Mus musculus: one gene and its partner. The protein of the gene in region 1 interacts with the protein of each later gene in a pairwise test. Links are inferred from orthologs where the notes say so. Each region holds a gene or a part of one and is shown on either strand. Other genes may lie near its edges.

Region 1 (4,581 bases):
GTGTTTACCAAGAAACTACAACTCCCATGAAGCAACGAGGGAGAAGACGGAGTGGTTTTTTTTTTTTTTTCCCCGCCTATTTTTTCTCAGTCCCATACTGGAAACAGGTGCTGGTGTTGAAATAATACAATATCCTTAAAATAGACGGAAAGGTGGGGCTTGATAACACGCACTCTAGTAAGGCAGCCGGAAGTCGCTGTCTCGAGCAGCCCCGCCCTAAGGGACGACACACGGGCCGGCTCGGAAGTGACGACACCGAGCACGCCATTAAATAGCAGTAGGCCTCCCTCTCCGCCCTCTCGGTCTTAGCGCCATCTTCCTTGGTTAGTCGCGGGGTTTTCTGGCGTTCGGGTTTCCAGTGCAATCCGTTAACATCCGACCTCCACATTCACTATCATCACAGCGGGCTAACGGCATTTTTCCCTCTTTCTCTCTAGAGACTCCTGCGCCATGAGAGCGAAGGTGAGCGGCTCTTAGGTGGTGAATCGGGCACCTAGTCCCCGCCATGGTTCCTCTGCGGGCTTCCAGACGGTTTGCCTCGGGTGTTCGCAGTCAGGGAGAGGCTTAAAATTCTTGCTGAAGAAAAGATGGGGTGGGAAAATGAGGGATTCGGCTCTAAAACTGAACCGGTGTCCTTTGTCAAGCCCTGTGTTCTGAGCAGTTTCATGGCCTTGCACAAGCCTGTCTCTAACATTCTTTTTTGTCTCCTCACATGATCGGGTTTTTTTAGTGGCGGAAGAAGAGAATGCGCAGGTACGTTTAATTTTTCAAGACTACCTTGGGGCAGTGGGGGCAAGCTCGGTGTGGGATATTTGGTTGGAAGAAAATATCTGGCGGGAAGGAAGCAGGAGTCGCCGCCCAGTACAGCAGAGCTGGTGCTTGTTAATCTCATCGTCTCTTGTACTCGTGCACTAAGTGTACGTATTGATAGATGTGCAAAGGAAAAAAAAAAAACTCAGGTTTGTGTGCCTTCCATTCCAGGCTGAAGCGCAAGAGAAGAAAGATGAGGCAGAGGTCCAAGTAAGCCAGCCCGTGCACCTACGACGCCTGCAGGAGCAGAAGTGAGGGATGCTGAGGGCCGGGACAAGCTATCGGACTGTGTGCTGCCATCGGTAATGAGTCTCAGTAGACCTGGAACGTCACCTCGCCGCGATCGCCTGGAGAAATGACCGCCTTTCTTACAACCAAAACAGTCCCTCTGCCCTGGACCCCCGGCACTCTGGACTAGCTCTGTTCTCTTGTGGCCAAGTGTAGCTCGTGTACAATAAACCCTCTTGCAGTCAGCTGAAGAATCAAACTGCTGTTACGTGTTTTTTTGCGGTTCCTTGGGGTGGGGACTCGAGTGTGTTTCTGTATAGGCGACATAGTTTGGGTGTTTGATCTGGCTGGAGCCGGTTGAGTGTGCGCCCGAGGTTAAGTTACAGAGTTGGTGCGTTCACAGCGCCACTCCTACGTTTTGGGGGTACCACTGCGTAGAACCTGACGCTGAGCGGAGTTCCGGGTCCGGCGGAGTCCTGTTACCATGGTGATGCGCAAGGCTTGTTGGGAGCTTCCTGCGCCTACTAGCACGCAAGTTGGACCATAGAGTGTGTTTCCGGGTCTGGTAGCTAGAGCGTCTCTTTCTTCCGCAGGAAGCGGAAGAACCGTAGGGTGGGCGGCTCTTTGTCGAAGCTAGAGGACCGGCAGGCGGCAGCAGCAACTACGGCGGCGGCGGCAGGTGAGGGAGGCGGGAGACTTAGGTGGAGGCCGCGCCCGGAGGGGAGGAGTCGGGGATGGCCCAGCGACTGGGTTCTGCCCGGCCACACGAGCCTCCCCCAAACCCCCCGGAACCGACCTGGCTCTTCCTCGTTACCCAGGACAGAGCCCCTTTTCTCACTGACCTCGCTTCCCAAGCAAACGCCAGCCCCGTGACGTCACAGCCCTGCCCATCCCTCCGCCTGATGTCACCCCGAGCCCCCCTCCCCTTTCACTTCCTCAGTGTCCCAGTCACCTGGTCCACCGCTGAGTGCTGGCACCGCATCGCGGAGCCGGCCAAGCCAGAAGACTTCCAGGGAAACTCGTAGGACTTTTCGTGAACTCTAGGGTGTTGGGGGATGGTCGTAATCACCGCCCCCGAGTCTAGTCTCGCCTTCCCACTGACACTAGTCAGTTGTTGCCCTTGTCCAGCTTTCAGGTTTGGCTGGCGTTCCGAACTCCAACCCTAGATCGGATTCTGAACCCCATATCCTTCTCATCTTGAGGTAAAGCTCCGCTAACCTTCCTCACCAGGAACTGTTTTGTTTTTTAGTTCAGCTTCCCAATTTTTATTGGTCGGTTCTAGCCCTTATCCTTCTTAATAGGGACTTCTCCTTGTGATAGGTGACGTTCACTTTGACCTCTTAAGGGAGCCTAAAAGCCACAAAGCTCTTAGCTTTTTGTCAGAATTCATTCCAGTGTATGAAAACCACATCATATCCCTTTCACGTTTTTCCCTTGTTCTACTCAAATCTCCGTTTTTTGTTTTTTTGTTTCTTGTTCAGAACCCAGCAGTGATGTGGAGGTGGAGACTCACGGGAGCCCCGGACTTCACCTGAGCTACCTCAGGTATTAATTCTGGGATATTGGGGTGAGGAAGGCTATCATATCCAGTTATCTGCTTCTAGTGGGACTTGAAACATTGGTCAGGCTTTGAAGGCATTTAGTCTTCACCTGATCGTCATTTATGATCTTTTAAGGGCTTGTTTCTTACCAGTTGTTTCTTATATTCTGGGGCTCCTTTTCCCATCTTGTGTATTCCTGTGCATCTCTGACTTCTAATCTGGTTAGTTATTCTAGCAAAGTCAAGGAAGTCAAGGAAACGGGAAATCAAGAAAGGTATCTTTATTCCCAAACGGAAACTAGGAACTTCTCTTATTTGAACAGTAGGGGGAGCCTGAGTCCTACTCAGGGAACATTTAAAAGATTAGACACGTGGTAGCAGGGACTCCCAGTCTTAGACTCCCAGGGTTAGAGAGAAGGGAGGGCTAGAATTAGGGCAGTGGACTGACATTCCAGAGCTCTCTTGAGAAACAGGAGACTTAAAAAGCTTTTATAGAGTCTATAAATAAAGAGGATTTTTATGGGGTAAGGAGTGCTATGGTTTGATATCAGTGGGATTTTCATGGAGTGGGGTGGGGAATGGGGAAAGAAAGGTCACCGTTCCTATGAAAGTAACTCCTTTCCACCTTGTCCTTCGAACAGTTCGTCCTGGGGATCTAAAAGTAGAAAGTTCAGCTCAGAACGTCTTTCCATGAAATGAGGGTGTTTGTGTGTGGAACACACTGGGAGATGGACAGGTTTCAGGGTTACCCTGTAGCTAGTGACACCAGTTTTGTTTTGTTTTGTTTTGTTTAACCAGGGATTTCTAAAATACATGGAGACTTGAGCTGAGTTTACGTAGAAGAGGGATTAAGGGAAGTTCTGTTTCTGGTGTTCCTTCTTCCATGAGTTCTCAAAGCTAAGCAGCCCGTGTTAGAGCACTCTTTCCAGTGTCAGTCTGTTCACACACCAACACCTGTTTTAGTTTCTCCCTCACAACTTAAATGAGAGAAGGTAAAAATCTAACACTCTCCCCTTCCCTCCCCCTCCTTGGCTGAGCATCATTAGTAAGATGAAGTGGCTTCATCCCAGCTCTCTCCCTCCTGTGTTAGCCAGGCAAGTGTGAATCACTCCAAACAAGACCAGGTGCATAAGGGCCTGGGCGGGACTTCTGGCAAGTCAGCCGGGCTAGCTAGAATTCTCCTTGGATTCTCCATCTCCCAAAGCCATTGCCCCAGAAGCCTGCCCACTGTATGGTCAGGAGAGAGGGAGCTTTCCGGAGGACCCCTTTCTGACACAGTTCTCTTTTTTAACAGTCGCCAAGAGTGGCAAGAAAAGGAAGAAGACCCTGACTTGGGGGGGACCAGGATGCCTGACCGGGACAGCTATGCCAACGGCACTGGCAGCAGCGGTGGAGGCCCTGGAGGTGGTGGCAGTGAGGAGGCCAGTGGGGCAGGGACAGGCAGCGGGGGAGCCACCTCAGATGCCATCTGTAGAGACTTCCTGAGGAACGTCTGCAAACGAGGCAAGCGATGTCGATACCGCCACCCAGACATGAGTGAGGTATCCAATTTGGGGGTAAGCAAAAATGAATTTATCTTCTGCCATGACTTCCAAAACAAGGAGTGTAGCCGCCCCAACTGTCGTTTCATCCACGGCTCCAAGGAGGATGAGGATGGCTATAAGAAGACAGGAGAGCTGCCTCCCCGGCTGAGGCAGAAAGTGGCCGCTGGGCTGGGTCTCTCACCCGCCGACCTACCCAATGGTAAGGAGGAGGTCCCCATCTGCCGCGACTTCCTCAAAGGTGACTGTCAGAGAGGAGCCAAGTGCAAGTTTCGTCACCTGCAAAGGGATTTTGAGTTTGATGCTCGCGGTGGAGGAGGCACTGGAGGTGGAGGCTCCACAGGCTCTGCTCCCCCAGGACGCCGTCATGATCTCTATGACATCTACGACCTTCCGGAAAGGGGCTTTGAGGACCACGAACCAGGCCCTAAGCGCCGGAGAGGTGGCTGCTGCCCTCCTGAC
Region 2 (4,446 bases), on another chromosome or scaffold:
AGAGCCCCACCCCCACTGCTTCAACCCTGCTTCTCTGACACTCTGAATTAAAGACAACTCTTCCCAACTTAGGAGTTAACCACGATATTTTAAAGTATCTGTAAAAGGAAAGTGATGGATGGTTATTATCTGCCTAGGGTTGTATTAGCCTTTTCTAAGTAAATCAGCTAGAGAGAAACAAACAGGGAGGGGCGAGAATCCAATTATTGGTTTAATTAAAAAGTGTTTATGCTTTTGACCTCAATTATTCTGATTTTCACTTCACCGATAAATTTAATAGCTGTTACGCACTCGACTTCCTTCTGGATCTTCATTAAGGCGGGTGGCCATGCTACTGAGTCGCTATTTCCAGAATTTAAGAGTTCCTTCTGCTAATGAAAAGGAAAAGCAAGTAAAAAAATACCGCTCAGGCAGCCCGAACATAGCGTGTTCAGATCACCCTGACAACCCATTTAGTCTTCCCCACCTCCTTAAGGTATTCTTTCTGGATGTGAGCTCACTCAGCCTCTAAGAGGCAACACAAAACAGCTTTCCAGGAGCCGAAGCAAAGGCGGTCCTAAGACACACCTCCTTACTTCTAGCAGGGAAGGTTTAGGACAGTCCAGAATTTTCCCAGAGAATATAGCTTAGAACGGGAAAGACCTGGCCACAGTTACACTGAGCGGCAGGGTGAGCCGAGAACTGCTTCTCAGGGGAAGATCACCACCAGTCTTGGAGGTACAGGAAGGAAGGTCTGATAAGACTTCCCCGTCTCTCCTCCTACCCTAAGGAGGGCAACCCTGGGATCCCGCAGAAAAGTGGGTACTGGGGGGTCATCCTTCACCTGCAAAGGAATCGGCCGTCAGCAGGCCCTCCTCCAAGCAGGGAAGGGTTCGGGATGAAACCCTCGTAGGTAGGAAAGCAACAGAAGAGTCCCGACACGCAACAAATCCCGCCAAAGCCTTTTGATTGTACGCACACTCAAGATGGCCGCCCCCATCCCTTAACGGGGCGGAAGTGAGCCTCTCTAGCTGGGTAGCGGCGCCCGCTCTCGGTAGTAAGGGCTTCAGAATTTCCGGCGGGAAATTCCGTAGGCTCCCGCTACCGCTCAGGCATGCGTACCGAGATGCCGACCCCGACTGGAGAAGAAGAGCGCTTGCGCATTCGGCCCCAGAGGGTGGGTCCCAGTGGACGCTTAGAAATAGGTGGGCAGGGGGGCGTGTCAGCGCCTGCGTGGTATATAATTCAGGGAGGTGTTTAAGCAGCAGCGTACGGAGCGTGTGAAAGGCGCCTGCGTAGGCCTTTGGCGGGAGGCGGTGTCAAATCCAGGAAGTGGGTGTGGCCTCTGGAACGCCTGCGCGGTGCTCTTCCTAGGGGGCGGGGCCAGGCTGGCCGGGGTTATGGGGCGTGGTCTCGAAGGCGCTTGCGCGAAGGCGGTTGGAGGGAGGCCCGATTCCCCTTTGTTCAGATTCGCCATTTTGCGAGGCAGCGGCAGTGGCGGCGGCAGCGGCGGCTGGAGCCTCTGATTGGGTTTCGGGGTCCGGTACTGGAGCCAATCAGCGCGGGCAGCGAACCGGGGGAGCGAGGCACGGTGAGTATGAGGAGCCAATATCCAGCGGCCCAGAGCCGGCCCCAGCGCCCCGATTGGCGGGTCTCGCTGACCACTCAGGAGAGGCCCAGGCGTCCGTCGAGCCCGGGAGTCGAGCCGAGGCTGCCCGAGCTGGGTAGCCAGTAGCCCCGGCTCGGAGTTGGTGGAGGCCTGCAGGGGCCGTCCAGCGTTGGGACGGCGTCCTGGAGCCAGGCTTTTCGGGATCTGGATCGTCTCCGGGGGCCGGTGGCGGATGCGCCACCGGTCCCCGATCCTCGGTCCCGAGAGGTCAGGTGGCTGACCGCCCAGCCACGGACCGTGGCGGTTTCCCCACGTCGTTCCAGCCTCATCCTACGGCCTGTCCTTGTGTGTCCCCACATTCCGGGCCCCGACGAGGCCCGTGTGTCCTGAGCTCTGCACAGTTGGGGCTACAGATCCGGAGCGAGGCCAGACTGAGACGCGCGGCGCGGCCTCCCAAGACCCACCCCGGGGCCGTTGGCGCGCCTGCCGCGCCCCTCCTCTCGGCCCGCCACCGGGGCTCCCGGGCCGGCGCCGTTACCACCCCTTTCTGGCTCGTCATTTCCTCCCCGCTCAGCCCGCGGTGCCGGCACACCTCCGTGCTGGAGCCCAACCAAGCACTCTTCCTCTTTTTGCTCAGTGTCTCGGTGTTTGAAACGCCGCTGTTGCAGAACTGATAACCCTTGTGCATCCTTAATGATTGGGGGCACACATCTCGCAGTTCCTATTATCCCTGTCTCCTCCCTTGATCTTTTCTCCCTTGGATGCTCTCTGGTTTTGTTTTCCTTTAATCTCTCCACTCAATAGCTCGGCCCACTCGTGTCTCTTTTTTCTAATACACCTTGAAATCCCGCGCGAACGTTTTCTCAACTGATGTTTTAAAACTTACACGTGCTTAGATTTTCTTTCCCCCTTCGGGGGACAGGAAGTCTTCCAAGGACTGCTAGCTATTAGTCTTTGGCGGACGTCACCCAAGTGCTGCAAGCGAGTAGGGCTAGGAGCTATGTCTGCTCGGTGGAGATTGACTGGTGTTAGTGTTTCATAGGGATCTGATCCAGTACCCAGAAGTGCACTTTACATGAGGAAGCCTATTTTCAGCGCCACGCTTTTGATTGGTGATGGAGGGTGATGTCCTCAGAGAGGAAAGACTGAAAAGAGTAACTGGAACAGATAGTGCGGTTGGACGCAGAAAGGCCGGGAGTACTGAGTTTAGGCGGGAAAGTCCAGTTGGTAAAAACCTTTGCAGGTCTTACAAAGGAATTTTTTGAAAACGGTTTTGACTGGAGGTTAAAAGTTAATCTAGAGTGGATTTCTCCCCTAACCTTGGGGGTGAAGGTTGCTGACCTGAGGATTCTACCCCATAGTCTTGTATTTGGACTGGGTGTTCTAACTTTGATTGGTATTTAAAAAAAAAAAATGGATGCATATGTCCACCTCAAAACTGCCAAATGTTTTTGTGGACAAAAGGCAGTTCTCCTCAGTCACTGTGACTCAGACCTGTGGAGCCTCCACTGGTTCCTCTGCATCTGCACTTTAAGAAAAAGTAGTGCAGACTCTCGATTTCTCTAATCTAATCACAGCCCAGGCATCTCCCTTTGTTTGAAATACTTCACCCTATACTACCTTCATCTGGGTGAGATCTCAGACTTAAACCTAACTCACATGACACCCTTTCCCAGTGCTTTCCTTGGTTTGTCCCCAGTGGAAAAGCCTCTGTCCCCCAAACTCCATTTACTGTATTTCCCTTTAGGAGTCTAATACACATTTTTGTTCCTTTTTAGACTTAAAAGCCTCTTTGAAGTTAACTTGTTTTGTTATTTAGTTCATGCTATCTCCTTAGTGGAGACAAGGAGCACACTGGAGCCTTCAAAGGCCCTAGCTGGGTGTGTGTGTGTGATGCCAGGTCAGATGGACTGCGGTGATCAGATGCTTATTGTAGGAGCATTTCTGGGCATTTCAGCTTTTGAAGATTCTAAGTGCTGGCCAGCTACTTCTGTGCCATGTAAATGGGCAGGAAATGCTATGGAAGAGAATGTCTCAGAGGCCAGAATAAACCCATTCTCATTCCTATTCATTCATATTCTCACTTTCAAAAACACATTCACAAGTCTGTAGAAGAGCTAGACAGACTAAATCCAGCTGGCTCAATTCTGTCATAAACTTGGGCACAGAAAGCGTAAGGAAAGGAAGTGTGTCAGGTTGTGTCACAGTTCTGCTGGCTGAGTTGATGGAGGAAGGAGCATATGGCCGCACTGGAGCCAAGAAGTCGGCACCATGGGCAACCTGAGGGTTGTGCTCCAAGCGCCACCACTCCCTTATCAATGCAGAATGGCTGCTGGGTTTGAAGCTGCCTCCAAAGCCCAGTAGGTTTCAATGGCCTAAGAGTGGAGCATTTGTATCAGCAAGATAACTGAGTCAACTCCAAATGTTCCTTACAGCTATTCCAGCCCTCTTGCCCACTTCAGGCTCCATTCTGCATTTAATCTGAGACGATGCAGACTTAGGACATTTAGCCAAGAAGAAAGTTTTATAGGAAAGCGTCTTGGGGCTAGTGGAAGCGGTAAAATACAGAGGTTGTTAATATCTTAAAAAAAAAAACTTTAAAATCTAATCCTTGTATATCTGTATTTTGGTGAGTTTTTAAAGCTCTCCACACCTGTACAGTCCCACTTGAAAAAAAGGGTGAGAACTTTGGTCATCCCCAAAATGGTCGTAGAGCTAGCTCATCTATTCAGTCTCTCCCACCTCCTTCCCTCAGGCTCAAGGAACTCCAGTTTGCTTTCTGTCTAGGCTTCTGATGTCAGAGTTTCTTATCATGGGGCCATGCTTGCTTATATTGTAGCCCTACTTTATTAGTCTGG

Evidence for each region.
Region 2: the proteins of Zc3h10 (region 1) and Nfya interact in binary tests that used the Homo sapiens proteins (3 or more experiments, as listed by UniProt). The two-hybrid records come from large-scale screens. The link is inferred for Mus musculus from reciprocal best matches to the Homo sapiens genes ZC3H10 and NFYA.

Annotation. Positions count from the first base shown.
Region 1 is NC_000076.6:128,544,830-128,549,410, reverse strand, and holds the start of Zc3h10 (zinc finger CCCH domain-containing protein 10), read left to right. Parts: upstream 1-1,664; 5' UTR 1,665-1,717; exon of another isoform or gene 1,718-2,240; intron 2,241-2,519; 5' UTR 2,520-2,583; intron 2,584-3,872; 5' UTR 3,873-3,924; coding exon 3,925-4,581. Other genes in the region: Rpl41 (60S ribosomal protein L41), read left to right, coding at 451-462, 731-753, 982-1,024. UniProt on the Homo sapiens protein: Specific regulator of miRNA biogenesis. Binds, via the C3H1-type zinc finger domains, to the binding motif 5'-GCAGCGC-3' on microRNA pri-MIR143 and negatively regulates the processing to mature microRNA.
Region 2 is NC_000083.6:48,406,750-48,411,195, reverse strand, and holds the start of Nfya (nuclear transcription factor Y subunit alpha), read left to right. Parts: upstream 1-1,375; 5' UTR 1,376-1,570; intron 1,571-4,446. Other genes in the region: ADP-ribose glycohydrolase OARD1, read right to left, coding at 292-330. UniProt on the Homo sapiens protein: Component of the sequence-specific heterotrimeric transcription factor (NF-Y) which specifically recognizes a 5'-CCAAT-3' box motif found in the promoters of its target genes.